Linked DNA regions of Rhinolophus ferrumequinum. The protein of the gene in region 2 purifies or fractionates together with the protein of the main gene of each other region. This does not show direct contact. Links are inferred from orthologs where the notes say so. Each region holds a gene or a part of one and is shown on either strand. Other genes may lie near its edges. The genes, in order: EIF4G3, EIF4A2 and EIF3H.

Evidence for each region.
Region 1: the proteins of EIF4A2 (region 2) and EIF4G3 purify together in Homo sapiens (affinity purification with mass spectrometry; 3 studies listed by BioGRID and IntAct, with this or other methods). This does not show direct contact. The link is inferred for Rhinolophus ferrumequinum from reciprocal best matches to the Homo sapiens genes EIF4A2 and EIF4G3.
Region 3: the proteins of EIF4A2 (region 2) and EIF3H purify together in Homo sapiens (affinity purification with mass spectrometry; 3 studies listed by BioGRID and IntAct, with this or other methods). This does not show direct contact. The link is inferred for Rhinolophus ferrumequinum from reciprocal best matches to the Homo sapiens genes EIF4A2 and EIF3H.

The regions. Positions count from the first base shown.
Region 1 is NC_046292.1:14,333,696-14,344,043, reverse strand, and holds the start of EIF4G3 (eukaryotic translation initiation factor 4 gamma 3), read left to right. Parts: upstream 1-5,661; 5' UTR 5,662-5,770; coding exon 5,771-5,964; intron 5,965-10,348. UniProt on the Homo sapiens protein: Component of the protein complex eIF4F, which is involved in the recognition of the mRNA cap, ATP-dependent unwinding of 5'-terminal secondary structure and recruitment of mRNA to the ribosome. Functional homolog of EIF4G1.
Region 2 is NC_046285.1:58,772,277-58,782,956, forward strand, and holds the start of EIF4A2 (eukaryotic initiation factor 4A-II), read right to left. Parts: upstream 4,573-10,680; 5' UTR 4,546-4,572; coding exon 4,517-4,545; intron 3,705-4,516; coding exon 3,647-3,704; intron 3,564-3,646; coding exon 3,431-3,563; intron 3,327-3,430; exon of another isoform or gene 3,258-3,326; intron 3,157-3,257; coding exon 3,017-3,156; intron 2,271-3,016; coding exon 2,102-2,270; intron 1,997-2,101; coding exon 1,887-1,996; intron 1,849-1,886; exon of another isoform or gene 1,722-1,848; intron 1,662-1,721; coding exon 1,518-1,661; intron 1,475-1,517; exon of another isoform or gene 1,297-1,474; intron 1,211-1,296; coding exon 1,073-1,210; intron 1,020-1,072; exon of another isoform or gene 888-1,019; intron 823-887; coding exon 733-822; intron 704-732; exon of another isoform or gene 563-703; intron 514-562; coding exon 434-513; intron 1-433. UniProt on the Homo sapiens protein: ATP-dependent RNA helicase which is a subunit of the eIF4F complex involved in cap recognition and is required for mRNA binding to ribosome.
Region 3 is NC_046297.1:55,675,772-55,686,796, forward strand, and holds the start of EIF3H (eukaryotic translation initiation factor 3 subunit H), read right to left. Parts: upstream 4,035-11,025; 5' UTR 4,000-4,034; coding exon 3,868-3,999; intron 1-3,867.

The DNA.
Region 1 (10,348 bases), on a different chromosome or scaffold from region 2:
TTAAGGGCTCAATCCTACAAGACTACCTTCTCCTCTTCAGTTGTAATTCCACGTTGTCACCTGTGCTGGCTAGAGATCAGAGGTTCCCACAACCCCCTTCTTGGATTCTATTTATTTGCTAGAGAGGCTCACAGAACTCAGAAAAGCATTTTACTTACTAGATCACCAGTTTATTATAGCAGGATATAACGCAGGAGCAGCCAGATGGAAGAGATACACAGAGCAAGGCATGGGGAGAGGGGTGCAGAGCTTCCATGCTTTCTCCCAGGGCACCATTTTCCCCAGTATTTCCATGTTCACCAACCAGGAAGCTCTGAGAACAGTGTCCTTTTGGGTTTTTATCAAGGCTTCATTACGTAGGGATGACTAATCATTGGCCACTGATATTTGAACTCAATCTCTAGCCTCTCTTCCCTTCCTTCCCCTAAGTCAAGGTCAGTGGGTTCCCCTGGCAACCCCCACTCCTAGGTGACCTAAGGGCTTATTAACATAAGACACGTTTACTCCAACTGAGAACGGAAGAACAGCCGAGGGTTCTGAGCACAGAAGTTACATGATCTTAACTTTTTGATGTAAAATAATTATGGGGAGTATTGAACTTGTAGGTCCAGTTACCTATCTCTCTTCCCCATTATATGTGCTCTCATAGTCCTTTCTAGGGGCCCAACCCAGTGTCTGGCACATAGCTGTCTCTCAATAAATGCTTGTTTAATGATTTCTGAAGCCTGGCTGTCACTCCAGAAGGACGCACTCAGGGGGAGGAATGGGCAAGGCTTGAAATGGGAAAAGACCAGGGCGTGGCATCCTACTTCTTAATGAGAAGATGGTATCAGATAGAGAATCACCTTGGCTTAGCAGTGAAGGGAGAGCATGAGTTTCAGTCCTGGTTCTGCCGTTCACTTGCTTGAAATAGGAAAGAAGGAACCTGGTTCTGCTGTTCACTTGAACTTGAAATAGGAAAGAAGGAACCCTTTCCTATTTCTGGGTTCTAGCCTTAAACCTGGGTGAGTTAATCCCTAAGGCATCTTCAATCCTGACTAGAATCCATTACAATATTTTTTAAAAATTGTGGTAAAATACAAATAACATAAAACTCATCATCTTAACAATTGTATGATAATATTTTTTGCTTCCTCTTGCCTCCTGGTGAAGCTGAATTCTCTGTAGCCATCAGGCCTGGTGGGGGCTGTGGTCACCTCCAGGAATAGCTGAGAAATGGAAGGTCCCTCTCACTGTGGGCAAAAGGCTGGGATCACCTGGTCTAGAAGTGACAGTCACAGCGAATTAGAGAAGCTACAACTCTGCCCTGGAGGGAATGGGGAAGCAATTAAGCTTTGTTGCGGGGCTTACTATGTCCTAGGCCTCTAGGCCCCGGAAGTACTCTCTACAGAGATGCTCTCTACAGAGAGCCCCTTTTAAGTCTTGCTTTAATCCTTTAGAGGCAGACCTCCTGCTTTCATTTTGCAAATGGCTCAAAGTTAGGAAACTTGTTTAAGGTTGATCAGCTAGTCTGTAAGGTTAGAATCCAGATCTGTCCTAAAGTTTATAAACTTTGAAAGGAACCAGCACCCTCACGTCCAAAAGGCGGAAACAACTCAAATGGGGTCTGTGAGCTGGCGCAGCTCTTTACTGAAGAGCATTAGTGGCTGATTACAATCATGCTTCCAGTATAGGGAAGGGGGCAAAATATTTCTTTACTTTTTCCACTTGGGCTTCTCTCCTCCTAGCCATATCCACTTCAGATGGGTGCCCTGCAGTCTCTCCTTCTTTGGTTTTTCTAACGTTTCCTTTTTATTTTTTTTAACCCTCTTCGTCTTCCACGTCTGTGTCTTAACTGCCTAGAGTCTAGATCTTGGGCCACTAAGGCCTTGGGGGATGTTGGCTTGTCTCAGAGTGGAGGACCTAATAATATATAAACCCTCTGTGGCTATTAGAGACGGCTTCTGTTGGCATAGCAAGGGTTGTCTTTATGCTAGAATGCCAGTCCCCTCTCCCCCTACCTCCAACCAGGAGGAAAAATGAAGGGGGCAGAGCACTCCAGCTTGTAACAATATTTTCAAAAGTTCAAATTAAAGAAATTCAGGGGTCCCCCGACTCAATCTCCAGTTCAGAGAAACAGAGCTGTGACCCCACGTGATCACAGATAAGCAAAGCACCGTCACCCAGCCTTGAGGAGATGTATAAACCAAGTCTCCACTTGTCTGCGGCTCTTCGAATGAAGAGGGAGAGGTATATTTATTTGGGGGTTAGGGAATGTAGGTCTCTGCTGGAGGCAGCCTGGTGGGCTCTGGGAACAGTGGATGGCTGGTTAAAGATATTGCACTCCTCTGTGGGCTAGCATGGCCTGCTCCAGGATACTCTCGCCCTTCTTTCTTCTTGCACAGTGAGGCCCAAGACTTCTCCAAGGTAACATGAAATCCTTTGGCAAGTCACAATGATTCTGTCCTTCAGCAAGTTTCACATCCTATTAATTGACTGCTAGATATCAGGGATATATTAGTTGACTAAGTAATGTTCCCCTGTAAATGAATAATAGCTAAAACGTATACAATAATTACTATGAGCCAGGGACAGGGCTAAGCGCTTTGCATTTGTTGTCTTAATTCTCATGCTAGGAGGTAGAGTCTCCATTTTACAGATGAAGAAACTGAAGCTTGGAGAGTTAAGTGATTTCGCCAAGGTCATACAACTAATAAATGTCAGGGCTGAGAATCAAACTCAGGTAATTTGATTCCAATGGCTGTGCTCTGACTCGTTAAATACTGAGAGTGCCCTGAGAGCTAAGCACCCACTGCCAAGGGAGCTTAGAGGAGAGGTACCTCGTTCAGCCTGGGGAGTGGGGAAAGGCTGTCTGGAGGAAGTGAGGTCTGAGCCAAACAGGAGCAGGAATTATTAGCCAATGGGCAAAGGGGAGAGAGGATAGTTTGGGGTTACAGGTAGTAGGAGCAGTCTGCAGACAGACCCTAGGGCAAAAAGGACCAAGGTAGCTGCAGCTGTGGATTTGAGGTGGAGAGTGACAGTAAGGAAGCAGAGGCCAGATTCTGAAGAATCTTGAATTTAGACTGGATCCTGTTGGCATGGAGGCTGTCAGCTGGCAAGTTCACAAAATCAGCTCTGCTTGTTGACTGTGCCTCTGGCCACAGTGGGGAGGTTGCTTTGTTGAAGGCACATGGCAAACCAGACCTGGAGTCAGATGCCTTGGGTTTGAATACTAGTGTTTCTACTTAAAAGTATTACACAAGTTACTTCTTTACATTGTTGAGCCTCAGTGTCTTTATTTGTAAATGGGATATAGTAATACCTGAAAAGTTGTTGAGGGGAATGAGTTAATCCAAACAAAACGTTTAGCAGAGTTGTACACTGGCAAATAAGTAGGGGTGCAATACATCTGAGCTGCTCTGTATGAGAGGGGTGGTGTTGAGCAGGGCCAGGAAAGAAAAGAGCTCTGCCTTTTCGACTTTGCTCCCTATGAGCCACCCTTGATTGCTTCTAGCCAGAATCTTATCAGGGACTTTTACAGGATTTTGCCCAAGGCCTATCCGTTTTAAGAGAGATAATGCTCATAAAGTGCTTAGCAAAGAAAGACCAGGCACACAGTAATTGCCAGATGCTTGTACCTATTATTAAGTTAGAAAGTGAAACTAGCTCAGAAAATAACAATTAAGCAATTATCAGTCTGTTGTCACCCTAGTGTAAATGAGAAGCCAAATTCTTTTCTGGGAACAGGTTTTATTTGGGATAAGGAAGTCTGAGATCCCAGAACATGCAAGGAGAATCCTGGGAACTGAAGGACCACTTGGGACTTTTTCCTGGAGCTGGTCAGAGAAGAGCAGCAAATCCAATCCTAAATCATCAGGTGTTACAAATCCAAAGGGTTTGAGGAGTTCCTGTCTTCTAGTCTGGAGATGGGGGACAAGGCTTCCTGTGGATACCGTGCCTGAAAGATGCGGTGGGGGGTTGTGGTATCACTCTCTTCCAGATGGCTCCTTTCTCCCCGAGGGAGGAGCATTCGGGGCTCAGTTAGGAGAGATTTAATTAATTAAGCACCCACTGTGTGTAGAGCTTTATGTGAATTAAAAAATAAAAATAAAAAAGGAAGTCAGTGTGAAGCAGGAGTCAGAACTGGACTCTAATTTTGTGTCCGCCAACTATACTCTCCACATGACCCTGGGAAGGTCTCCTGTGCCTTTGGGCTTTGCTGTTAAACGATGGCATTGAGCCTCGGTATCTTCATTTGTAAAATGGGTACTAGCTATTTCACAGAACTGTGTGCGATAATGAATACGGAGTGCTCAGTGCCTGGTGACCACCATCACCTGATTCCTCCCTGCGGTTCCTTTCCACTCAATGGTCCTGTGCCAGGGACAGGGCCCATGCTGGGGGAGGGTCGGGGGGGCGAGGGTGTGGGAGGGTCTTGGTTGGTCCCTTGGTTGGGGAGAAAAGGAGCTTATCCACAAGTGTTACCCTGGCATAGGACACTGGGGAGCTGACCACTGGCTGCTGGTCAAAGTACGCTTCAGTCTTGGGGTCAGTCCTTGGAAGACTGCATCCACAGAACGCTCAGTCAAGGTTGCTGATTAGATAAGGCGGGTCGGATCAGGTCCCAGGCAACTTGGGAGGCGGCAAGGTTCATCCAGATGAAGGGAGAATTCAGATGCAGGCTTGGCTCTGTCCTTTCCTGGCTGGGTGACCTTGGGCCAGTCACTTTTCCTCTCCCAATCTGTGTGCTGGGGAAATGGCACTCCTCATTTCACTTACCTCTCAGATTGTACCAGGATGAAATGTCGACATAATGGACGTGGTGAACTGCGAATAAAGGCCAGTGAGGGCTATTTGTTATGCTAATAGGCGCACACTGTCAGTTTCTATCCAGCGGTTTCACTCTGGTTAGGCGGTTCCTTCCACAGTAACCGAGGTTCCTCGCCTAACAGCTCCCGCCCCTGCGGGCAGGGCTCTGCGGACCGCAGGCTCCTGGGCCGTTACCATTGTTCTTCGGGGCTGGGCAGCAGGGGAGGACTCTCGCAGACCAGACCTTGCTTTTGGTCTCTCCCTCCGCCCCGCACCCCCGCGGCAGCGAGCCTCGGAAGCCCCCTAGCCGATCTTTTCCGAGGAAGCGAGTCAGCCCCAGAGCGCTCCCGAACGGCGGCCGAAGACGCCCCCGAGTGTTTCCGAAGAATCCCGACCACTCTCAGTCTCCGGAAAGAGCCGAAGGGGCTTCCCACCCTCGGCCTCCCGAGCCACTCCGAAAAGGCCCGAAGTTTGCCGAGCGGCCGTCCTGCCGGACTGCTGGAGGCGGCCGCAGCGCCATGTTGGATGCTCTGCTCGTTGAGTGAAGAAAATCCGCCGGCATCGCCTGAGCCCCGCTACCGAGAAGGGCGCCGCTTCCCCCGGGGAGGGGGATAAAGACCCCCCGCCGCCGGCCCATGAGGATATTGCCGTGAAAGGTCCGGTCTCTCCGCCTCCTGCCCCCGCCGGGTCCGGCCCCCCCCCCGGGGTCGCGTTGTCACGGAGACCGGCAGCCGGTGGTGCTGGCCCGCGGGGCGGCTGCTGCTGCCGGCGGCGGCGGCGGCGGCGGCGGCGGCGGCGGCGGCGGCGGCGGGCGTGTGTGACCGGCCCCGGCCCCCTCCTCCTCCTCCTCCCAGCCTCCCCCCGACCCCCCGCTCCCGCCGCCTCCCCGGGTCTGCCCCCATCCCGCCCCCCCGCCGCCCCCGGCCCCTGCACCCCGGCGCGCCCGGTCCCGCTCTGGGGGGGTTGGTGGCTTCGCTTTGCCATGAGTTTACCGCAGAAACCGGCTCTGAAATCAGGCTCAGCGGCTGCAGCAGGAACCGGACCCGGCACAGGAGCGGCGGCGGCGGCGGCGGCGGCAGCGGTACCGCCTCCTCACCCGGCGGCGGCAGCGGCGGCGGCGGTAGCGGCCCCTCCTCACCCGAACATCAGGGCCCTCCAGACCCAGGCGCCCCAACAGTATCCTTTTCACGTACTGCCGGCCCTTCGGCTCTTCGCGGCAGAGCAGGGGGGCTGTGGCCCCGCCGGGGACTCGACTGCTGGCTGCCACAGCCCAGCCGGGCAAAGGGCTGCTCCTCAAGCCCGGCCGGAGCTTTTGGGGTGCCCCGGCGGCGGCACTGCGGGGCTTCCCGGGACCCTCTGCAGTACGATGAAAACTAGCTCCACTCGGCCTCGCCTCTGCAGCCCTTCCCTTTTAGAGCTGGGGGACCCTTCCTCCTTCTCACCTCTCCGCCCTCTAGCCCCCCCCAGCCCCCCTTTTATTAGGCAAATTTACTGCCTGGGGCCTGGGACCGACCCTGCGGGGAAGGTTTTCCTCGGATTGTTGTAAGGACTACACCCTCCCCGTCTCCCTTCAGCACCTCCTGCAACGGGGCATGGCGGGCCCCTAAGTAGTATTAATACATAATAAACTTGATTGGTAAATTTCCTGTTTGAAACTAATCAGCTCGTTTCGGAGGTAAGTTGGATTTTCAGTCTGCGGGGAGAAGGGACAGAAATCACTCCCTCCGGCTAATATTTTGTAGCGGTTGGGGGAGTTGTGATGTGGTTTGTGGTGGAACGCGATCTAAGGAGGAAATGTTACACCGGACGCTTCCCTGTCTTTGACCTTTTTAAAGGAAGAGGAAGTTAACTGACATTACCCATCACCCCCAAAAGTCTCGCTTCTTGAAAGGCTTGTGTTATGGTCAATATTTTTAAGAGCTTTAATGTACTCTTCATAGGCCCGATGTCTAGAAGGGACCAGGGATCCTGGAGTAAAGTCTAGTATGGCCTGTATCTAATTTCATGTTATTTGCTCGATTGTAGAGTGTTTGGACAGCTTTGATTGAAAAGATTTGGTAAGGAGGTAGTTCAGTCCAAAACTAGCGGGTGAAAGTGAAACTTGGAGTTCATCGTGAATTCCAGGGAGATTTAGAAAGGTGTTTACCTACCTGAGAAGAACATTTCATCATGCTCCCCCCCCACCCCCCACCCCCTCCCCCGCCATCCGCTGTATTTGTGTAAATCAATATATCGTTGGATGTTAGATGTGTTGTGTTTTTGTATTTGTGTCATCGTGTGTTTGACTTTTAGAGTGAGGATGTTTGAGCAAATAAACTTAACTGCTGTGAGTTCCACAGATTATTTCCCAGTGTGGTTTGATTCTTGTCTGTATCGATTACTTTCAGAAGGGAATGGCATCACCCTTCTAGAGTCATTTCAGGTCATCCTTTTGGTTTCTATCAAGTGTCCTTTTCTCTTGTTCTTTAAATACTGTGAGTCCACATTTTTGTCAGTCCAGGCAGTGTGGCTCAGAGTAAAGATAAATTCCATTCCAGTGTGATGTGTGTACTGATTTCACAATGTTTTTACCCTGCATGATTCTGTTCAGTTAAGAATTGTTCACTGATGAGAATGCTTAGTGATAACTTACTGTTACTTTTGATCAGTATTCCTGTTGTTTTCCTGTTGGGGGGGGAAACGGCCTACATCGTGGTGGAGTTTAGTGCTGCATTTCTTAAACATATCTTCACTTAATGCTTTGTGAGTTTAAATTCCTTTCTAATTTGCCTTTTTATTTGTCTTGATTACCCATACTTAGTTAGGGCTGTAAATTTCTAGACAGTGCTCTCAAGTAAATTATTCTTTAGCCGCATCTTTGAGTTGTTTGGGCAATTAAACAAATGAAAGGAAGCCTATAGTATGTGTTCTTGATGTACAAAGTGAGAAGGGCCATGATGCTGAATATGACAGTGCTTGGTGAATTTGGTGGTGCTCTTTGGACACAGAGCTGTGTTTCAAGTATGCTTTTTCTCCATGCATTTCACAAAGGAAGGGCTCATAAAAGCTCTGAGTTGGTGCAACAGAAAAATTGTGACTGCAAAAGTTAAAGAGGATAAATTTAAGATGTAACTTCCAACGGAGATAATTTTTAAAGCTATCTGTGGTAATATATGACACTTGGTTTTATGTGACTCTTAAGTTTTTACTTTGCCTCAGGTCATGGAAGCTAAAATTAATTTTCTTCTTGAGGTATTTCACAACCCTGTTATCTTCTGTTTGCTTTACACACTGAAAGGTTACGATGGCTAAAATCTAAATGTTTGTATAGTAAATGAAATACAGTTTACAGAGTTCATTAGAACATACTAGAGCGGTGAAATATTATCAATGGTAATAGGCATTTTGGTTAAACGTGGATTAAAACAGAGCAATTTTGTGTACCCAGAGGGAGTGTGAGAGTTTGTATTTGATGACAGCAGTCATCGTGTAATAGGTTGATATACATTGAAGCATTGAGACGAGTACAGAGTTGGAGTTGCTCTTTCTGTGGCTTAATTAAATCTCCATTTGTGCTTGAATTGAATCAGTAAGTTCAGATAGTATTTTAAATTTGTACACATACTAGAAGGGGATTCACGTGACAAGGTGTCCTTTATTTGTACTTAATGTTCAAGTGACAAATCAGAAATGAAGGGAGATGGTAGCGATAATGACTTTGCATATAAACTGCTTAAGTGGCATCAGTATCGCATGGCAGGCCCATAAGGCCATTCTGGTAGAAGCCTTTGACTGCAAAGAGGCAAAGGATGGGGGGGGGCGGTGAAAGAAGGAAAACACTGATATGAAAAGTGCTAATGGCAAGGGAGAAATACGCTTAGAGTTTTCATAGCATGATCCAATATGAATAGTTCATGAAACTGGTCCTTCAGAATACTTGCCTTGAGATATGCTCACCCTAGCTTCCCAACGTGAGATTCCAAGAGGCTCTGTTGAGAATGTTAAGAGTGATTCTTAACCTTTTCTGGGTAACAAACACTTTGACATTTTGATGAAAGCTTATAGACCCTCTCTGCAGAAAACTCTCCCTGCACAGAAAATCTTGCGTACATTTTCAGGGGGTTTTTGCACCCCCACTCCATAAACAGCCTAACCTTTTAGATGGAAATTGCTTACCCTTCAGATAAGTAAAGATTAATGAGTTTGAATTTAGGTGCCCAAATAGTTCTGACTTAATAGAACAATTTTGCAGTCTGTTATGAATACACAGTGTTCTCTCTATTTATATGGAAAGACTTCAGGGTGTAATTTCTCTCAGGGCTGCTGACACTTCTGGGGAGTCTAGTTACTGTTTTGGGGCAGCCAGTTTGATTAAGAAAATCAGGGCAGTGGGTTCTTTGAAGGAACTAAATTTGGTGAAGGCCTGTAGTGACCTAAAAATGATCTGTGTCCTCAGTTATTTTGTTTTAGGTATGGATATATTAAAAACAAATACTCCCCCCTTTTTTTTGTATGATAATTTTCTTTTTTATGTTTTCTGTGTTGATTTTCAGTTTTATCTTATTGGCTGAAGCCAAGTAATGTTTGCTTTCTTCTTTTTTGTCTGTTTACCGAAGCTAAATCTGAATATTAATAGTAGTATCCATTTAACGAGCACCTATTGTTCTAGAAGCCATACATGTGTGATTTTATTTAATTCTCACATGAACCCTAATGAGGCAGGTACTACATATATTTTATAGATGAGGAAACTGAAGTGCAGAGAAGTAATGTTCCCAAGGTTGTCCATCTAGTAAGTGGTGGTCTGCAGTTCAGACCTTGATACGACTGGCTCCAAAGCCCATGACTGTTCTTTTTACTGTGCCATGCTGTACCGTACCAAGGCTGCACGTGGGAATGGGAGGAAGGGTACTTTGCCTATTTGATAGCTAGGGGAAGGTCTGTATACAGCTAAGGAGCTCTGTGGAGTAATCTAGAATGCAGTGATACTATACCTTGTTTTAATTAGTTCATGGCCACATACCGCTAGGCAAGTACGTTATCTTTACCGCATTGAGCCTTAAAGCACAGGAATAGGTCTGCCTCGTTTGGTTAGTGCATGTTTCTGCTTGTTTAGAAGTTCAGGCCTTCAGCAAAATACCATTATAACTACCAACTAGACCTTTGTAGCTCATGTAGCGACCAGCAGTCTGTCTACTCCTAAGCTCCACCATCAACAATGATGGATCTGCACTCCTAGGAGCAGGTCCTCTTCTAGGAAAGAGAGGGCACCAATGTAAGATGGAGAGAAAGAAGGAAGAAAGTTGATTCAGGTGCCTGAGTCACATTGACTCTTGCCACTGCTACTGCTACTTCCTCTCCTAGGCTATGCGTCTTAAGGTGAGGTGTTTTCTGTCCAACAGAATTTAAACTGTGTTTCTTGTCCATGTTGGGTTTCTGATAAGAATTTTACAAAAAGGTTTACTGCTACAAAATGCTTGAAAACCATGTTTTAAATCATAATAGGATCGCCACATTTTAGCCATTTATATTGAGACTTCAATATAAGTGGCAAGTTTTAAAGTTCATTTGTTCATTTATT
Region 2 (10,680 bases):
ATCACATAACAAAGTACAATTCAATTTATTTAGGGATAAAGCCACTATAACTAAACCAGGGACTGCTCAAATTGCTACCAGACGACACCAAGAAAATCCCAACTATAAAGGAAATCACCAAGAAAGCACATGGACACACAAGAGCATCACTAAAAATAAAGCTCAAAAATATGCTAAGACCAACAGCTCTAAAGCAATCTAATCCGTATGTATGAAAGCCCACAATTTGGGCAATATTTACAACCGTTTTCCCACTGTACATGACCAATCTTCCCAAGTACAATTTTAATTACATCCTACCAAGTTTATTGTCTACCTACTGAACGAATTCCCTGAATTGAGGTAACGTTTCAGACAAATCAGTCAACAGAATGAAAAGGCAACACATGAACTTGTTTTACCAATACAGTAAGTCAAGGTGCCACCTACTCACCTGTGAATGTAATTTTCACGATTGGTAGGTAGATCATAGTTTATAACCAATGACACTTGTTGCACATCAATCCCACGAGCCTGAAATACAACGGTATGTTTAAATTTAATTAAATAACTAGAGATCTCTAATGTAGGCCACAAATTAGTAGTGAACTATATGTTTAGTGATATAGTCCACTGTGGAGCGTGGTCTTTTCTTTATTCTCCCAAACAGTCCAAGTTGGTAAAGGTTATTGAAAAACCTTCCCCCCAGAAAAGCTTTTGGTAGGATTAAGAAACAGCAGTTAAGAGACTTACCAACAAGTCAGTGGTGATCAGAACACGACTTGACCCTGATCGAAATTCTCTCATGATAACATCTCTTTCCTTCTGGTCCATGTCACCATGCTGCAAATTAACAAACCTTAATTCCAGAATCACTAGTCAAATCAGTATTACTTAACTTTACTGAAATGTATGAGACCAAGCGTCCCTGGCTGCTACAGGAGTTTAACAGACAGGTATAGTTAAGAAACAACTTTTTTTTGAGCAGGGGGAACGACAACACAGCACTTAACAGCTATATTGTAGTCTAAATCCTGCTTTAATGAAAATATACACATTGTAATTACCATTACTAGGTTAGAACACCTCTTACCAGAGCGGAAACCGTGAAGTCCCTGGCATGCATTTTCTCAGTGAGCCAGTCCACCTTGCGCCTTGTATTGAGAAAAATAACAGCCTGTGTGATCGTCAGTGTCTCGTACAAGTCACAAAGTGTATCCAATTTCCACTCCTATAATATTTCAAAGAAAAAGTTAATCATTAAAACAATTTAATTTCCAACTTACAGCCATTAGAAATTCAGTTAAGTCGGTCTAGACATATTGCACCAAATCTTGAGACAAAGGACACTGGACATTAAGAAAGAGGTCCACCCCAGTCTTTACAATCTAGTGCAGTTACTTTTCTTCTTGTGTGTACTCTGCTAGCATTATTGCAAAAACCAAGATGTGATCCCAGTTTCTGCAATTTTAGCACAGTGCTTATACAAGAAGGTAAAAAAAAGTGGCTACATTTTTATGTTTAATTAGACACATTACCTCTCTTTCAACGTTAATGTAAAACTGTTTGATTCCTTCAAGAGTCAATTCTTCCTTTTTCACCAGAATTCGAATTGGATCTCTCATGAATTTTTTGGTCACTTCCAATACATCAGTTGGCATTGTAGCAGAAAGCAACACCACCTTAAAAAGACAATGATGTTGTCACACAAGTAGCCCAACTTTCAAAATATTCAAGAAAACATGTTTGAGACCAAGCGTCTCTGTCTTGCTATGGAATTGTGCTAGACAGAGATAGTTTTGCATCAATTGCTGTAAGCAGGGGGAACGACAATAAAACACTTCAGTTGTATTGTAACAATACCTGCATTAAACAATCTCCAGATATGGGTGAAAGGTAAAGCTCACCTGAATACTTGTATTTAATTTTTGGAAAATCTCATAGATTTGATCCTTAAACCCTCGGCTCAACATTTCATCTGCTTCATCCAAAACAAACATTTTGATCCATTTTGGAGCTGTCAAAAACAAAGTCATACTATCACTTCTAGATTCTCAGGGATACTATTTGTGTTTATTTATAATAGCAAAAAAAATGTACGCTCTCAATAGACAGTACTTACAAAGATATCTTCTGTTTAACATATCAAACACTCTCCCTGGTGTGCCAACAACAATATGTGGTGCTTCAGCCTGCAGTTTTTGCATTTCATTTCTAACATTGGTTCCACCAATGCAGGCATGACAAGTTGCTCCCATGTAGTCTCCAAGTGCCAGGATTACCTTTTGGATCTAAAAGCAAAGAGCCTTAATTATTTTCCAGCAGAATTACAGGCTGTGATTAAACTTTTAAAGCATAATGGCAAATATCTGGTCTGCAAACAGCTTTTATGCATGCAACACACTTAACTACTTCCAAGCTTAATATGCAGACTGATCTAACTGCTTCAAGGTAAAATTCCCTTAAAATACTTCTTGTACCTTGTCAAACTTAGGATCCTGTTGCCCCAGGTACCAGCTAGATTTATAACTAAAAACATTTCCTTCGTTACTCTTCATTGTGTAGGAAGGTGTAAATAGTGGGATCAAGCTCTGCAATTACAACCTAGACAAGATACTTTTCCCACAGGGCAGTAACATATAATCTTGACTTTAACAAAGCCTAGCTTTATTAGCGAGGTTTCCTTCAAAGCCAATATAGATAGCAGTGAGCTTTGAAAACATCGTGCACCAGATGCATCACAAACTGAGACAGTCAAGTGATAACATGTCACTGCAGTTTTCATGTTGCACAACTGCATTCAAAAAAATAGGAATCTAGTCCACCCTAAACAGAAAGCTTTGGTTTCTCCATTATAACCCTGTGAACCATACCTGCACACCCAGTTCCTATTTACTTTCAACAAAAACTCCCTGCATGCACGGACAGTTAAGAGGGCTCTGATAGGACCAATTTATACTAAGCTTTAAATTTTTCAGTTGTGAAACTTGAACCTATGCAACACGCAAGCAGTTTTTTTGAACTACACTATCAATACCTGTTGAGCCAGTTCTCTGGTGGGGGCCAATACTAGTGCTTGGGTCTCCTTGAACTCAATCTCCAACTGTTGCAGGATGGAAATAGCAAATGTGGCTGTCTTGCCAGTACCTGACTGAGCTTGAGCAATCACATCATACCCTAAAAAAAGTAGGATACATATTTACCGATCCCACATCAAAAAGTCAATTCTAGTTCACACCATGTATTCCATTTGGAACATGAATTATGCCCAAATAATTAAGTGATCAGCAATGAGTATTCTCTTCATTTCAGGTCAGTCCCGAAAGATGATTGCCATCATTTCACTTTAAGGAATACAAATAGGTGCTAGACCCCCAGAAGTTATTTTCCCTTTTATGGTGCAGGTCTATGTAAAACAATGAATTTTTTTTAAACTGCCGAGTTCTTTTACCTTTAATACAAGGAATAATAGCTCTCTGCTGAATAGCTGAAGGCTTCTCAAAACCATAAGCATAGATGCCCCGAAGAAGAGACTCCTTTAAATTCATATCGTCAAAGTTATCAACAATTTCATTCCAGTTGCTCTATAAATTAAAAATAAGTAAAAATAAATAGTATGAACAAACTCACCTTTCCAGAATTTCAAAATCCACACACAATTTCTTACCTCGATGACACCATCGGGGTCCATTCCCTCTGGGCCGCCATGTTCTCTGCAAAGAACACTGCAGTTAGATTAACAAGCCATCCTAACTGCACATGAGGGGATAGCCCTTTACAACCAGTCTATCAGGTTACCCTCCTCCTGCACGTGTGCATTTCCTACTAAAAAAGCAATGGAAGCTGGTGGCACAGGGCACATAATTTACTGTGCACCTGCCCAAAGGTTGAGAACGCAGGACGGACGGCAAGGCCCCACGGACACTGGCTTTCCCCCAAGCCCTTGCGCCAGGTGCTGCCGTCTCGGCGGCGGGCCGTCTCGCGAGAGGTCCACGCGCTGAGCTCCGCCCCTAACACTGCGCAAGCCGGGGTGATTGACGCGGGCCGAGGCCTGGCGAAGGCCATGCCAACGGCTCGCCGAGACCCCGTTGCTGGTCTGGTCCCAGCGCGCCTTTTGGCCGCGGCGAGTGGGCGCCGCTGTCACCCTCCCCGCACCCCACCTTCAGTCTAACATTTCAATCGCGCGGTTCGCTGCAAATAAAGCTTTGGGCCCCGGTTACACTGTACCGAATGCGGACTGCGCCACGGCTTTAACTAAGTGTCGGGCTCCGTACGGGCAGGGGAAGCAGCCGAGATCTAAAAGGATCTTCAGGAAAAAAAGACACCCTTCAACCACTCCATTTTCGTACCCTTATCTCGTGTCCCCTCGCTCAGGGGCTCTACCCATCATGGAAGCTTCTCGAAGGACACAGGGGTACCTTACCCCAAGGAAATGCCTATGAACCCGGCGTTCCCTGACTCCACGCCAGCTACTACAATTTCCTCTGGCGCCATTTGACCTTCACCACAAAACAGCACCAACGAAAATGCCCTGTACCTGTTATAATCCGCGGAGCCACCAGACATGTTCCGAAAAACCACTCAGCGCCCGACTGAAAAGACAGTCAGACCGCCCCACCCGTTTTTTATAGGCTCGTGGCCGGAACCCGTTTTCTGCGGAGGAATTTTCTCGTCGTTCTTCATTAGCCACAAAATTGTGGCCCTGGTGTCCTTACCTCAGAAAGTGTCCTCAGAAGGTCGGTGGGAAAATCCAAGTTGGTTATGTCAAGATATTACAGGGACGCTGGGAATCCCAGGACCGTAGGAGAAGGATGGGACTCTTTGCTTGGCGGCGGAAGAATATTGCAGCAAGCGGCGCCGACCCGCGTTCCCCTCCCTCCCTGCTCCTACGGGGTTTCCGCGTCCCTGAAGCAGAGGCGGCCCCGGGGAGCCGGGCAGGACCGGGAGGCGGAAGCCCGAGGCGCGCTGCACTCTGGCTGGCCCGGGCGTCCCCGGGGGCAGGAGGGCCCGGGCTCATTTTTCGCCGCTGGCGCTTGGTGCGGAGAGGCAGGCACCTCCACGTTCTGCTCTAGAGGGAGATCGGGTTTTTCCGCCCGATTAAATAGCTGCGGGGAAAGGTTATTTAGTCAGACGGTAAAGAGCCGCTTGGCTTTGAGCCCGAGCGTTTAACATCCGTTCCGATTGTAAAAGTGTGAAACTCTTGCTAGGGAAAATGTCGGCCACCTAGCACGTCCCAGAAAACCGGGTTTACCCTGTATTGTGCAGGGCGAGAAAAACCGTGTGTCATTTGCAAATGTCTCTGGAGTAGACAATTCGATTCTCACGTTGCTTCTAGTCTTCTCTCGCTCTTTAAAATAATGCTAATAATTTTAACAGGTGTGAGGAATACCTGATAAAGTCATTGTAAACTTTTGCAAACATATAATAGCTAAGGAGGATTACTTTTCCTTGTAACGCAAGAATTTAAATGGATGCTTCTGACAGATACAGCTCCTTGCTGCTTTGGGACTAGATAGGTTTTGACTCTGGTCATTAAAAAAACTAAACAAATTGAATTTAATTGCTTATACATTATGAATATTGATTTGCTGAAGATGAGAGCAACACAACCCTTGCTGCTTGAATAAACTGCCTGATTCTTTAAGCTCCTTGAAGTTTTCAACTGTAGCTCTAACCGAGGCCTGTTGGTAAAAAAAAAAAAAAAAAAAAATGTATTTAGTATTTAGTCATTTAACTTTAAAATACAATCCTACACATGCTGCAAGATATCATCACAAATATTCAGGAAAACATTTTCTCATTAATTCGGAAGACCAACCAAAAGTCTGATAACTGTAAAAACTGACGCTTAATTTTCTACATTTGTATATCATATTTGATATATTTGGTTATAAATACCACATGTATTTTTTAAATCATTAATTTATTTATTTGAAAATTATTATCGTGCCAGGAACTGTGACAGAAACTAATACCATGATCACAAAGTGGACTTGGCTGTCAGTCTAGTGATGCTATCCATCCCCCTGTAATGCTGAAATGCAGATTTGAGGTAATGCCAGACATTTTCTAGGAAAGGAAGTCAGAGATCCTTATTGTCTCATGTAAAACCTACTGAAAAATCTTCTGGGATCTAACAAAGTGGAGAAAATACTAAATCAGGAAAGTGACCAACCATTTAGTCTCACTTAAGTCTTTAGGGTGAAATCACTCAGTCATAGGGTGAAATCAATTAATACCTCATGGTTGAGTGTTTTAGGTTTAGCACTACCATTGCAAGCTGTGGAGGATTTCCAGAGTCTCTTAAGAGGAAATAATCGAAGGCTAATCTCTGGTTTAGGTCACAGTGGTTCAAGTTGTTTTAAGGAAAGAAAGTTTCATAATTTAAAATTCAGTCAAAATCCAGAGCCTGCAACCCTACAATGTATTTCTAATGAATGGTGTGCTCACCACATTTGTATTTGCTTACTAAATAGCATTAAGTAATAAATGAGTTAAAGACTTAAAACATACACAAGTTTTGCAAATCAATTTAGAGCATACTCTTGTACCGTTGAGATAAATTTTTCTACTTAACTGAGATCTGAAATTAGATAGCCTTCTCGGAGACAACCACAAATGCTTTGGTGCTAACCTGGAGTCTGGAGGCCATTTATATTTCAAATGATGCTAAAAATCAGATTCCTTCCTTATGTGAGCCCCCCTAGTTTAGATTTGCTCTTCAGTATCATCAGCTGACAGTCCTAAACCCATCTAGCAATTGTAAGCCAATTGTCACCAAATGAATCAAGGAATTAGTACAAATTTGTCAGTATGACATGGAAAAACAATAACAAAACCTTTAAGAGTATGCTTTATGTTGTTAGTGACATCTTTCTATAGAAAATACCATGTATTTTCATCATTCAGGGAGTGTTGTGTGCCATCTTGAGGTTCTCACATTATTTCAAGTCCATCAATTGATTTGAAGTGATAGCTGTACATTTAAAGCAGTGTCTTGATAAGCTTTTGATATGCAAAAGTTTGTTAAGGTATGTGTTTTGGATCTTCAACTCATTTATTACTTATTAATGTCATTTATTATTTAGCAAACACCTAGTATAATACATGCTGTCCCTCCATCTATAATTTAAATGTTTAAAAAGAACTGCCTTGAGCCGGATAAAGACAGTAGTACTACTCATCTCTTTCAGTTGCTGGAGGAAATTAGAGGCTAGATTGTGCTTGAATGTAGGCAGTGTCCACTGAAGCAATTTGGAGGGTGACACTCAGTGTCATGTGCTTTACAATAACTTTTAAAGCCATTTACATAAAAATAGGTAAAGATTTTAATAGAGTTGAAGAAAATGGAGAAAATTGAAGAGGACCATGGAAAGGACTTGAGCTATGTAAAGACTGAGTTTAAATCCATTAATTCAAGATTATTAAACTCTATTGTGTAACCAAGATATGATTAGACGTTTTTCTAGCTTTACCCTTATAAAGACTAAAATAAAAATACATTACTGTACTTCAATTCAGTACATCTATAACTGGTATGCATAAAAATCAAAGGGGAGATGTATTTGAAAGGCAGATACATGTGGACTCTGCACTCCCACCCAGATTCAGGAGATCTGATCTGAGGTGGAGCCAGCTTTTTACTTTGAAAAATTCTAAACTTAAAGAAAAGTTGCAAGAATAAAGCAGTGGATACCAAGTACTTGTTACACTTACCAACTGTTAACGGTTTAATACATTTACTCTCTCTCTTATATTTATCTATGACTTTTTTTTAACTTTCTGAAAGTCACAGACATAGTAGTGTCATTTTATTCCTAATAAAGTAATTCAGCACTGCATCCTAAAAACAAAGATATTCTCCTTTCGTAAAAACCAAACAATCCTATTAGAACATGAGCAAAAGACATGAAAAGACGTTTCACTGAAGATGATTTACAGATGACAAATAAGCACATGAGAAGATGTTTAGCATTATGAGCCATTTGAGAAATGCAAATAAAAACCACAGTGAGATATCACTATACATCTACTGGAATGGCTAAAATAAAAAATAGTGACAACACCAAATTCCAGCAAGGATGCCGAGAAACTACATCAGTCATACATTGTTAGTGGGAATATAAAATGGTACAGCCACTCTAGGATCAGTTTGGCAGTTTCTTAACAAAAAACTAAATGTGCAACTACAATATGATGTAACAGTTTCACTCCTGGGCATTCACTCCTGGGCATATGAGAAATGAAGACGTATGCTCACACAAAGATTTGTGCATGAATGGACATAGCAGCTTTATTTACAATCGCCAAAAGCTGGAAAAATTCACATGTCTTTCAATGGGTGAATGGTTAAGCTGTGATTATATCTATACCATGGAATACTAAGTAATAAAAAGGAAGGATCCGTTTATTGATACACACACAACCTGGATGAATCTTTAGACTATTATGCTGAGTGGGGAAAAAACAAAACAATCTCAAACGGTTACATACTACATGATTTCATTTATATAATATTCTTGAGAAGACAAAATTATAGAAATGGAGAGCTGGTTAGTGGTTGCCAGGGTTTAAGGAGGGGGTGGGGCAGTACAGAAGTGAGTGTGGCTATAAAAGGTGAATAAGAGACATCCTTGTGGTGAGGGAAATGTTCATATTTTGACGATATCACTGTCAATATCCTGGTTGTGATGTATTGTAGTTTTCTAAGATGTTACTTACCATTGGGGGAAATGGGAAAGAGTACATGTCTGATCTTACAACTGTATGTGATCTACAATTATCTCAAAAATTAAAAGTTTAATTAAAAAATAGAGGTGCTTCCACAATCTTTCCAGCTCTTAGTCAGAGAGGCCCAGAGATAATGCCTACCCAAGAAGAACCCCAAGTTCAGTTCAAATTTGTATTGGTTGGTGATAATGGGACTAGGAAAATTACATTTGTGAAACATCATCTGACTGGTGAATTTGAGAAGTATGTAGCTACCTTGGGTCTTGAGGTTCATATCCGTGTGTCTATACCAACAGAGGACCTATTAAGTTTAATGTATGGGATACAGCTGGTCAGGAGAAATTTGGTGGATGGAAAGATGTCTACTACATCCAAGCCCAGTGTGCCATTAAAGTGTTTGATGTAACTTTGAGAGTTACTTAGAAGAATGTGCCTACCTGGCATAGAGATCTGGTAGGAATATGTGAAAACATCCCATCATGTTATGTGGCAACAAAGTAGCTATTATGGACAGAAAAGTTAAGGCAAAATCAATTATCTTCCACCAAAAGAAGAATCTTCAGTTACTTTCTGCCAAAAGTAACTACAACTCTGACAAACCCTTCCTCTGGCTTGCTAGAAAACTCATGGAGACCCCAACTTGGAGTTGGTTGCCATGCCTGTTCTTGCCCCACCAGAGGTTGCCATGGACTCAGCCTTGGCAGCCCAATGTGAGCATGATCTAGAGGTTGCTCAGACAACTCCTTTCCCAGATGAGGGTGATGACCCGTGAGAAAGGGAAGCTGGAGCCCAACATCAGAAGTCTAGTGGTATAGGCAACTGTCCTGTGATGTCAGTGGTGCTGCTTGTTTGCCACTTTATTAAATAGCTAAGCAGAACATGTGCTTAATTTTTGGGATGCCAAAGGAGATGAATGGGCTTTGGAATGAATGTGGCAGTTAAAGAAAAGACCCTCATTTTTGGGACCTGCATATTCAGCTGTTTTGGAACGCAGTTGTTTCCTTCCTGAGTTTCAAGTGCAAGACTGCTACACAATATTCAGTGGTGAAATCTTGTTTATTACTTTCATTCCCATTCCTTTTTGTTTAGAATCAGAATAAAGTTGTATTTCAAATATCTATCAATAAATGAATTAATTAATTAGTTAACTGCTAAAGGTAACATGGTATTATGGATTGGATCCTAATACAATAAAATGAGAGTGGAAACAACGAGGTCACTAGATCTGTATGTACCAGTAAGGGAAGCTGTTCAAGATGTATAGTAAATGGGAAAAGCTCATTGAAGAACATTATATTTGTGTAGTAAGATCCTATTTGTGTTAAAAATGGATGGATATATGTATAGTTTTATGCAGAGAACAATGTTGTCTTAGTCTGTTTGGGCTGCCATAACAAAAGACCACAGACTGGGTGGCTGGAACTTCAGGAATTTATTTCTCACAGTTCTGGAGACTAGGAATCCAAGATCAAGGTGCCAGCGGGGTCCGTGTCTGGTGAGAGCTCTCTCCTTGGGTGACACATGGAAGCTTTCTCACATCTCCTCACATGACCTTTCCTTGGCGCATTCTATGGGGGGGTGGGGAAGGGAGCTCCCTGTTGTTTTATCTATAATGATTTCAATCAAACATTTCTAGAAAGAAACTGATTTCTTCTGGAGGGAATCCATAAATGAGAGGAAAATTTTATATTTTACTTGACATACTATTGTTCAGTTTATTTCATTTTTGTACTAGTGGCAAATACTACATCCATAGTTTTTAAAGTAATAATTACAATCTGATATGTACTGAACTGTGTTTCCTCAAAATGTATACGTTGAAGCCCTAACCCTCAGTGTGGCTGTATTTGGAGATAGGGCCTTTAAAGAGGTAATTGAGGTTAAATGAGGTCATAAAGGTGGGACTCCAAGCCAATAGAACTGGTGTGCTTATAAGAAGCGTAAGAGGCACTAGGGGCAGGCAAGCACAGA
Region 3 (11,025 bases), on a different chromosome or scaffold from region 2:
AAGGGCCCAACAAGATGATATAAGGGTCAGTGAACTGATGGGGCCCCTTTAGATTAGTCAGAAGGTACCTGTGAGGTGACATCTGAGCGGACACCTGAATAACAAAAAAGTGTATGTAACTCTGACCTTTTCATTTATTAATAGCACTCTCTACCTTACTTCGAATAAAGGAGAAATCAGGTAGCTAACAATTGTAAACGAGGAGGTAACTTTCTTACATAAAGGGAAAAGAAAATGTAAAAGTAGTAGATTTTGATGGCCATGGGTTTTAAGCAGTGGAACTTTGGAAGGCAGAAATGTTTTACACTTTAGCCTTCAGATCACCTCAGTGAGAAAAACTACATAAACAGTAAAGTGTTAATTAACAGTATATGATCACAGGCCAAGATGAACAATACAAAACGTCATCATAAAAAGTTCAGAGAAAGGAGAGATCAATGTGGAGCAGAGCTGTACTTCTCTAACATGATATGCTATAAATCATGTGATACAGCAGGTTGGAATTCTGAGACACTGTATTTCCACGGTTCTAACAAGATACCAAGGGAGGCCAATTCTGCTTGTCTTACTGGTCCATGGACCATACTTTGAGTATCAAAAGTATAATAAGAAACGTAAGAGTCAAACTGGTTTCAGGGAATAAAGCGGGCTTTACATGAAAAGTTCAACAGGAAGAATTAGCTTGATCTTGTCTAGGAACGATGAGACCATTTGACTACATACAATGAAGATCCACTCCTCCATTCTATAAGGATATACTGGGCACTGACTCTGCACAGGGTGCAGAAGACACACTGACAAGTCTAATAGAATGGACTAGTTACGATTGTGAGATACAATTTCACACAAGGAAAACAGCCATGTAATTGTCCATTAACAGTCAGATGAAGAAAATTACACATATTCATGCAATGAAATGCTATATTGTAATGAAAATAAATTACAACTACTCACTCTAAAATGGACCAATCTCAACCATGGTGTGATACAGTGGTACCTCGGTTTTCGAACGTAATCCATTCTGGAAGACCGTTCAAGTTCAGAAATGTTTGAAAACAGCCGACAGCTAGGCCTTGGGATCTTGCACTCAGCGGAAGCTGTGTAACATGTTCGACTTCCAAGAAAACCGAAGCATTTACTTCCAGATTTACAGCGTTCGTAAACCGAAAGGTTCATCAACGGAGACGTTCGAAAACCGAAGTACTACTGTATATGTATACATATTACTCAAGACACAGGAGAACATACTATGATTTAATTCATATTTATTAATATAAATAGGCAAACCTAGACAAGTTGTTTAGGAATACACTGGTAAAGCTATAAAGAAAACCAAGAAACCACTGAAACAAAGCTCAGAAGAGTAATAGGGTGGGGAGAAGGGATGGGAGGAAAGGATGAAACAGGGAAAGGGGCTTCAAAGATATTTGTAATGTTCTATTTCTCAAACTAAATGGCAGGTGACTGGCTATATTGTGATTATTGAAGTTATGTATTATAGACACTACTTTGCATGAATGATATATTTTTGACTTTTTTTTTTTACACTTTGCTAATGTTATGAATGATCTTTTCAAAAACTAAGTTAGGAAATAGGTGGTGGCAGATTCTAATAGCAGTGAATTAAAGAAACAATGGAAGACGACCAATATAGACGATTTGTAACCACTGACTTCAAGAGGAAAAAAAGTGGGGATTAAGAATGGAACAGAGAGTGCCAAGAAAAGAGACAGAGTTGAACATTTTAATATAGGAAAGTCCTGACAAAGGTAATACTAAAGATAGAGGAAATGATGACACAAGACCAAAGGTAGGAAAGGTTCAAGAATACAAGAAAAATTGGTCTTGGCCACTATCAAGGTGCCAGGAACAAATGAGGTTAAACATTAGGTCTACCAAATAGTTGTGTGTGGCTAGAATGCACAGTTCCTAGGAAGCCTGGAAAAACTAGGAAATAAACCTAAACACAAAAAGGAGGACAACATCTTGGTGGGCCTTGAACTCAATGCAAAATCACTGAAAACATTTCAGGAAGGAAGTTAGTAAGATGTGAACTTTCACATTAAGTCAATGTTTTAATAAAAGTATGAAGGATGGACTGAAGAGGGCTAAGACAACAATCCAAGGTACCATTAAAATAATTGATCAAAGAAAAGCATCAGGACATAAACTAATAGCAGTACAAAAATAAAATGTAATCTTTTATTCATTCATTTATCCTATCTATGTCAGTGAACAGGCTCAGTATTGGGAATTACAGGTAACAAAAGCATAGTCTCTGCCTGCCCTCAGTAGCTCTCATTCTGGTGGGGGAGACACACAGGACAATTACAGACAGTGGACAATGCAATGAAAGAAATACAGGGCGGTGTGATGGAGAGTGACGGGGGGAGGCTACTTCTAACAAGGTTGTCAGGCAAAGCCTTTCTTGAGATGGTGTTATTTGAGCTGAGACCTACAGCATCAAAGGAAGCCACCAAGAGGGAAGGAATATTTGAGAGACTATTTCAGACAGAGAAAACAAAGAACTGAAAGGTCATTGTGACTGGAGCCTAGAAAGTATGAGGTGAGTGTGGAGAAAGAGACAGGAGTAGCAGGACCTTGAAGACTGTGGCAAGAAGTCTGTATTTTATTTTTTAAGTGGATATGGTTGGTGGCACACAGATGAGAAGCAGACGACTCTGATGTATTTTGAAGGTGAAACCCCAAGGATTTGCTGAGACTGGATGTTGAGGGTAAAAAAAAAGAATAAATGCAGGTGAATGCCTAGGTTTTCTGACTTATTCAAATGGGTAGATGGTAGTTCTATTTATTAAGGTGGGAGAGACTGAGGTAGGACCAATGAACGGGAGAGACGAGTGAGGGGAAGAAGTCAATAATTCTATTTCGGACACGTTAAATTTGAGGAGCCTATAAGATATCCAAATAGTGATGTCAAGCAGGCAGTTGGGTATTCAAGAGTGGCATTCAACAACCAAATCTGGTAAGAAATATAAATTCAGAATATAAATACGGAAAGCCACCAGGAGGGTCCTTAAAGAGAGTCTACTACTATAACTACGACAAAAACCAGCAGCAGCTAAGCGGAAGTGGAAACCTACTATGTCCCAGACATCGTGCTAGTTATTGACACGTTCAGCCAATTTTAATCCTCAAAACAACTCGGATGAGGAAAATGAGGCATAAAGACATTAACTTGCCCAATGTCACTCAGCTAATTAGAGGTGGGATTCAAACCCAAGCAGTGTGGCTCCAGAGGTGTGCTTTTAACTACAGTCCTTGGTTACGGTATGTCCAGCAGAGACCAGATAGAAGGAGGCTTAAACCCAAATCCTGAGGCACTCCAACATTCACAGATGGGGAAAGAAGAAACCAACATAACAGATGTTTACTCCAATTATGCTGTTTCAGGTAAAGCTCTGAACGATAGGCTCAAACGTGACTACAAAGTCAATCTCCCCTTGGGAAGTTACAGATGTCATACTCCAGCAGGGAAGCATTCGTTTACCTTCCTCTGCCCTCCCCAAAGCCCTAGAGTCCTAGTTCCTTCTCGACAGTTCCGTCACCTACTCGTCTTCCAGAGACGTCTTTCTCCAAATCCCCTCTGCCAAGCATCACAAAAGAAGACCCCAAGAATCTGTCACACACACACCCCCTTCGCCTTGTTCCCTCTATTTCCCCGTCAGATGGCACAGAAGGCTGTGGCGTCTCCCGATCAAAAGTGAAGATGAAAAACGAGGGTTTCAGCGGACAACTTTGGCCCAGCCTCACCGAGCCTAGAGGAGAAGCTGCCGGGGAGCGCTTCAGGCGGGACTGGCGTGGGAACTATGCTCCCACGTGGGCCGGAGGAGACGGAACCCCACTCACCAAGCCATCTATCTGCACTTGCTTCACGGCCGAATCTCCGGACCCGCCTTTGCTTTTGCCCTTCCCTGCCGCGCCGGCAGTGGAGCTGGAAGAGGTGGTAGCAGAGCCGGTGCCTTCCTTGCGGGACGCCATCTTTCCAGCCGGACAGGAAGAGAGAGAAACGTGAGTAATCGGAAGCGGAAGTACAAGCGATTCGTGACGTCGTGCGCAGTCTGGCGTTCGAGGGGCGGAGCTGGGAGAAAGAGCTGGCGTAGGGCCCCGCCTCCCATCTTTGCCAGCCTCACCTCTTTCCCCACAACAGAGTCCTTTGCACACGCGCATTGTGCGCTTGCGGCTTCCCCTTAGAGTCCTGTAAGAAGAAAGTAGACTTTTAAAAATGTTTTCCACTTCATGTTGGCAACTGATCATAATAGCATTATAGATCACATTTATATAAGGTCTCATGCGTAAAAATGCTTTCACTTCTAATTTTTTGATTAATCCCCATTCCCAATCTTATAAACCATGAACTGTATTAACTCCCATTACACTTATTAGGAAAGTGAGACTCGATTTATCCAACATCATTCTGTTAATTAGCCCTAAGCGGTATTGCAGTTTGTCTTATGTAATTTTAGATAGCGGTCTCTACGTAGATTATATAAAAATTAATTAAAACAGAAACTTTGATCACAATTACCAGAACTAATAGCCCTTTGCTGCTATTAGTTTCATGTAGGATGTACATAAGTACCAAGAAGTTGTTTTATGTGAAGTGGTGATGTGGAACATATTTTCTAAAAATCATGCTGACTTATCTAACACAGTTTGAAATACACATCTCAAGTCTTTAAGAGAGTAATTTGACAGTTTTAGAAAACCATCTTAGATGAATTTAAAACATTCTCCACTTCCAAATACAGTGCCTAGTCCTTATTTTTGAAATGTTTACTCATTCAATAAATACCTAGGCAGAACCGATGAAGTGGTTATACCAATGAAGGCTATTTCTTGCCCTGAAGATTTTTTATTGTGAGGGTCTGGTGTTATATTACAATCTGAAAACAGGAACAGTTACACCTGACAAAAATTCCTAATGCTACAAAGCAAAAAGTTAATATCCATTCTTTTCAAGTGCTCATGAAATTTTTATCAAAACAGACCACAACCTGGGTCACAGGGACCATCTCAACAAATTTTGAAGTGTTGAAGGTTGATTATAGTAGAATCACACTAGAATCAGTAAAAGAAAGATAGTCAAAAAGAAGAAAAACGAAGAAAATCCATCATGGAAGAACCAGAACTGGAAATTAGTGCCTATCATTTGGCAGCCGGAGTGATGAGCACCAAAAAAGCAGGTTATTTACAAACAATAATTATTGTTTTATCCTACAGCGTATATAACAGTTTTGTTTCAAAATTAGAACGCCAATATTACCACTAACAATAAAACTGGTAAGTAAAGTTTAAAGTTTCTTTGCAATATTTTTGTCCTTGGAAATATCCCACTAAGATTTTCCAGTCATGTGTGCTAATCACACTATAGGTTCTTTTAACCTGACCCAAAAAAGTGCATGTGGGCCTTCTGCTTGAAATAGTCCAGAGCCAAGAGGTACAAATACAGATGGTCCCCACCTCACAATGGTTTGACTTATGTTTTTTGACTTTATAATAGTGCAAATGTGATACACATTCAGTAGAAAGCATACTTCAAATTTTGAATTTTGACCTTTTCCTGGGCTAATGATATGCAGTATGATGCTTTCTTATGAAGCTGTGCAGTGTGGCAAGATGCACCTCCCAGTCAAGTTTATGATCACGATGGTAAACAACCAATACTCTACGATGTACGGTGTTGCCAACATCTTTTGGATATTTGGCTATTGAGCACACTTAAGATAGGCTAGACTAAGCTATGTTAGGTAGGTGACGTGTATTAAATGCATGTTCGGTTTAAGATATTTTCAACTTACAATGGGTTTATTCGGAAGTAACCCCATCACAAGTCAGTCCAGGAACATCTGAACAGAGAGAGGGAGGGACAGAGGAAGGAAGAGAGAAGAAGACCCATGAAGTAGAATTTGAAATAGAAAATCAATATGATCACCCTAACTGGAAAGGGCTAGAAGCAATGTCACTTCCTTCACTTGGTTTCCTGGTTTCCTTCCTATCTCACTGGCTGTTCCTTTCTCAATCACCAACTGCTGATTTCTCTACTCTTTCCCAGCCTTTAAATATTGAACAGCACCAGATTTCAGTCCTTATACATCTTTGTTCCCTTATCTTTATTCCCCATCATGGTGATCTCATCCACTCTCAAGGCTCTAAACTTCATGCATATGCTGATGATTCCCAAATTTATATTTCCTCAGACCTCTCCACTGAACTCCGCACCAGCATCTCCATCTGCTTATTCAACATTCCCAGTTAAATGTCTAATAGGCACTTCCGACTTAACCTTTCCAAAATTGAGCTCCAAATACTGCCGACAAAAAGAAATGTTCTTCACCCAGTCTTCTCCCCTCTCTTTTAATGACAGCTTTATTCTTCTAGTTGATAAGACCAGGACTCTTGGGGTCATCTTTCACTCCTCTGTTTCTCTCAACCACCCACCCACCTACCCACCTCACCCCATCCATCAGAAACTCCAGTAGGCTCAATCTTAAAATGTATGCAAAATCTAGACTTTTTCTGTGGGAAGAAGAAAAGCTATTTTTTCCTACTCCTCCCAGTAAGTAGATACGTCTACATCCCTGGACATTGCATATAAAAGAAAAATAAGAAGACTCTGCAAGGTGGAGGGACGAAGGAAGACTGGCTGGGGATGTTGGGACCCAAAGAACAACACAGTGGTGATTTCCCAGGGTTCCTATTTGCCACATACATCCCATACTTGGAGCTGAAGTCCAGCAACATGGAAACATCAAGAGGCACAAACAAAAACAAAACCCCCAGCCAAAGTCTGTTCGCTGTGTGCACTGTCAGTGGAGACCACGTAAGGAGTTTGAACGTTCACCCTCACCAGACAGCAATGAAACAGCAACTTCATCCCCCCAATGGAATGATGTCAGAGAAGGCCTAGTGGAGAGTCAGGATTTTACCACAGCAGTAAGGAGGCCACCCACCCCATGAAGGAAGCGTGGAGAGCAGTAAGAAGGCACTCCTACCCCTTCCATCCAGAAGGTATTGGTGGAGGCCTACTGCGAGCTGGAACTCCTATCTCCCACCAGTAACGGGAAACTATTCTTGCACCTGAGGGAGTCAATGGAGGCTGAACAAGGAACTTCTATTTGCTCCCTCATAGGGCAGTAACAGGAAGAACTCCCTCCTTCCATTGCCAGAGCTGTGTCAGAGGAAGCCAGCTAAAATAGAAGGGCTCAAAATCCAAAGTTCCTGAACAGAATACACAAAAGTCTATCAGGAAGATTTCAAACTGAATGAAAAAAAACAATCAATAGATGCCAACACTGAAATGATAGAGATGTTAGAATTGTCTGAAAATATTTTAAAGCAGCCACCATACAATTACAAACATACTTGAAATGAAATTTCAGCAAGGAAATTGAAAGTCTCAGCCAAGATATAGGAAATATAAACAGGAACCAAATGGAAATTTAGAACTTAAAAAAATACAGTAACTAAAATGTTTTATTTTTATTTTATATTTATTTTATTTTTTTAACTCAGTGGATGGGCTTAACAGCAAAATGGAAAGGACAGAGTAAAAAAATCAGTGGATTGGAGATGGAACATAAAAATTACCCAGCCTGTACAAAGAGTAATAGAATAGAAAATGATATAGCCACTGTGGGAAAGAGTATGGCAGTTCCTCGAAATATTAAACTTAGAATTACCAAATGATCCAGCAACTCATGTCTAGGTATGTACCCAAAAGCATTGAAAGCAAGGACTCAAACAGGTATTTGTATACCAATGTTCATAGCAGCATTGCATATAATAGCCAAAAGGAGGAAACAACTCAATGTCCTTTAACAGATGAATGAATAAACCAAATACAATGTATACATACAATGGACTATTATTCAGCCTTAAAAAGAAACAAGAGTCTGATACATGCTACAACATGGATGAAACTTGAAAACATTTTGCTAAATGAAATAAGCCAAACACTAAACAACAAATATTGTGTGATTCAATTTATATGAGGTATCTACAATAGTCAAATTGGTAGAGAAAGAAAGTAGAATAATGGTTACTAGGACCTGGGAAGAGGGAGAAATAAGGAGTTATTGTTTAATGGGTGTAGAGTTTCAATTTCGGATGATGGGAAAGTGGGAATTGTTGCACAATAATGTGAATGCATGTAATGGTACTGAATTGTGCACTTAAAAAGGTTTTAAATGTTAAAATTTATGTTACTTTACCACAATAAAAAAAAAGGGGAGGATTGAAAAAAAAATCCACAGAGTCTTAGGGAACTGTGGAACTATAAGAAAAAACTGTAGCTGTCCTGGCATGGAAGTCTCACGAAGAGAAAAGAAAGAGAGCATGGGTTAAAGGTATTTGAAGAAATGATAACTGCAAATTTCTCAAATACTAGGGAGAAAGTCATAACCTACAGATTGAAGAAGCTTGAGTGAACTCCAAGCAGGATACATCACACCAAGACATATCAGAGTCAGGCTTCTGAAAACCAAAGAAAAACTTTTGAAAGCAACCAGAAAGAAACAACACCTTACTTATGGGAGAAAATCAACTAGAATGAAAGTGGATTTCTCATCAGAAACCACGAGACCAGAAGGAAGTTGCATAATATTTTTAAACTGCTAAAATAAAAAGAACTCTCAACCCAGAAACCTGTATTCAACGAAAATATTGTTAAAGAATAAAAAGGAAATGAAAACATTTTTGGATGAAGAAAAACTAAGAGAATTTGCACTAGCAGACCTGCCCTAAAAGAATGACTGAAAGAAGTTTTCTAAAAAGAAAAGAACCAATAAAAGAAGGAACCTTGGAACATCATTGAGGAAGAAAATTCACAATAAACAAAAATATGGATAATTACAATAGACTTTCCTCCTCCTTTTGAATTTCCTAAAGGAGGTTAGGGTTAAAGCAAAAATTATAAGTATCTAGTATAGTTCTAAATGTATGTAGAGGAAATATTTAAGACAATTACATTATTAAAAGAGGCTGGTTAAGGGACAGGAAGGTAAAATTTCTACATTTTAACTGGTAAAATGACTTAACTGTAATAAGTTATTCAAATCTAATATAATACCTAGGAAACCACTAAAAAGCTTTACAAAGGGATACACTCAAAAATATCCCAGATAAATCAATATGAAATTTAAAAAAAATTATTCAATAGCCACAAGAATGCAATAAAAAGAAAACAGGAATAAAAATAAATAGAAAAAAATAGCAGTCTTAAGCCTAAACATATTAATAATTAGGTCAATATAAATGTTCTAAATATGCCAACTAAAAGACAACTATTGATAGAATGGATAAATTCAGACTTAACCATAGGCTGTCTAAAAGAAACTCACTTCAAATACAATGATATTGAAAGTAAAATGATGGAAAATTATATGCAAACGTTAATCAAAAGAAAGCAGGAGTGGGCATTATTAGTATCAGATAAAGGAGAATTCAGAGCAATGAAAAATCACCACAAACAGAGAGAGACATTTTAAAATGATATGATGGTCAATCACCAAAAATACCTCGCAATTCTAAATGTGTATGCCCCAGCTAAAAAGCTAAACTTACGCGAAGACAAATTCATAGAACTCAAAGGACAAATAAACAAATCCACAGTCATCATAATTGGAGGCGTCAATTCCTCTCTCTCAACAACAACTAGATAGAACAACTAGAAAGAAAACCAGCAAGGATATAAAGGAACTAAGCAACAACATCAATCAGTAGGATCTAATCAACATTTATAAAACATTCCAACCAACACATTCTTTTTAAATCTCATAGAATGTATAGTTCATATCTTGAGCCATCAACAAATCTCATCAAATTTAAGAGAATGGAAGTCTTTCAGAATATGTTCTCCAACCACAATAGATTCAAACTAAAAGTCAAAATGTAAAGGTAACAAGAAAATTTCCAAATATTTGGAAACTAAACAACATACTTCTAATAAACCATGGTTCAAAGAGGAAGTCTTAAAGGCAATTTAAACACACACAAACATACGCACACACTGAACTGAGCTAATATAAAAATACAAAATGTCAAAATTTTTACATCAATGCCAAGAGGGAAGTTTATAGCTAAATGCATTCATTATAAAAGAGGAAATGTTTCAAATCAATAACCTATACTCCCACTTCAAGATCTTATAAAAATAAGAGGAAAATCAACCTAAAGCATGCAGAATAAATTAAATAAACTAAATGATCTAATATTCTAAAATAATAGATTGAAGTAGAATACTGAATATATTCAATCACGCAAAGAAGGTTGGTCATAACCGTTAAGTTGTATTTCTGCCTCCCGACAAAAGGCAGTTTGATATTGTGGGTGTTAGTTTCACTGTAGATATTCATTTAGTGGATAGAATAAATTTACCCTGTTTCCCAACAATATATTCTCCATTCTCTTTGTCATGGAAACTAAAGTTTTTAATGTACTTCTAACTTTGCTGGAAATATTTCAAATATATTCAGAAGCAAAAGAGAAAAAGGTGGTGAGTGCCTTCCAAAGCAAGCTGTGGCCCGCCCATGGGTGAGTACCACGTGGGAAGCAAAGGACAGCCTGTTATATACCTGAGTGAAAAACGAAAAAATAAAAATAAACAGGCTGACTAGTTCTGCTTTTGTGACATAGTAACTCTATATACTAGGAAAACACAGTCCAGTGAATGTCAGACTGTAACCATTCCATGCCTTACAAGCAGCCAGTATTGGAGCTGCTTTTCCTTGCTTGGCTAAGACTTACTTACATCTCTTCCGATGCAATAAAATGAAAGAATCAAGACAATAACGATGAGCCAAAGAATTTCTTAAAATGTCACTTCATTTCTACCAGTATTCAGAGGAGCCAAAGGATTTTTTTTGGAATGTCAATTTATTCCTATTCAGTTGTTTCCTGCTTCCAGACCTCTGTGGAGGGCAAGGTTCCTTTGCACATCTGATAGTCTCGGGCCTAAGCTGAGCAGTGCTCTCAGTGATGGTGGTGTAGATAGACCTGAAGCGCTAC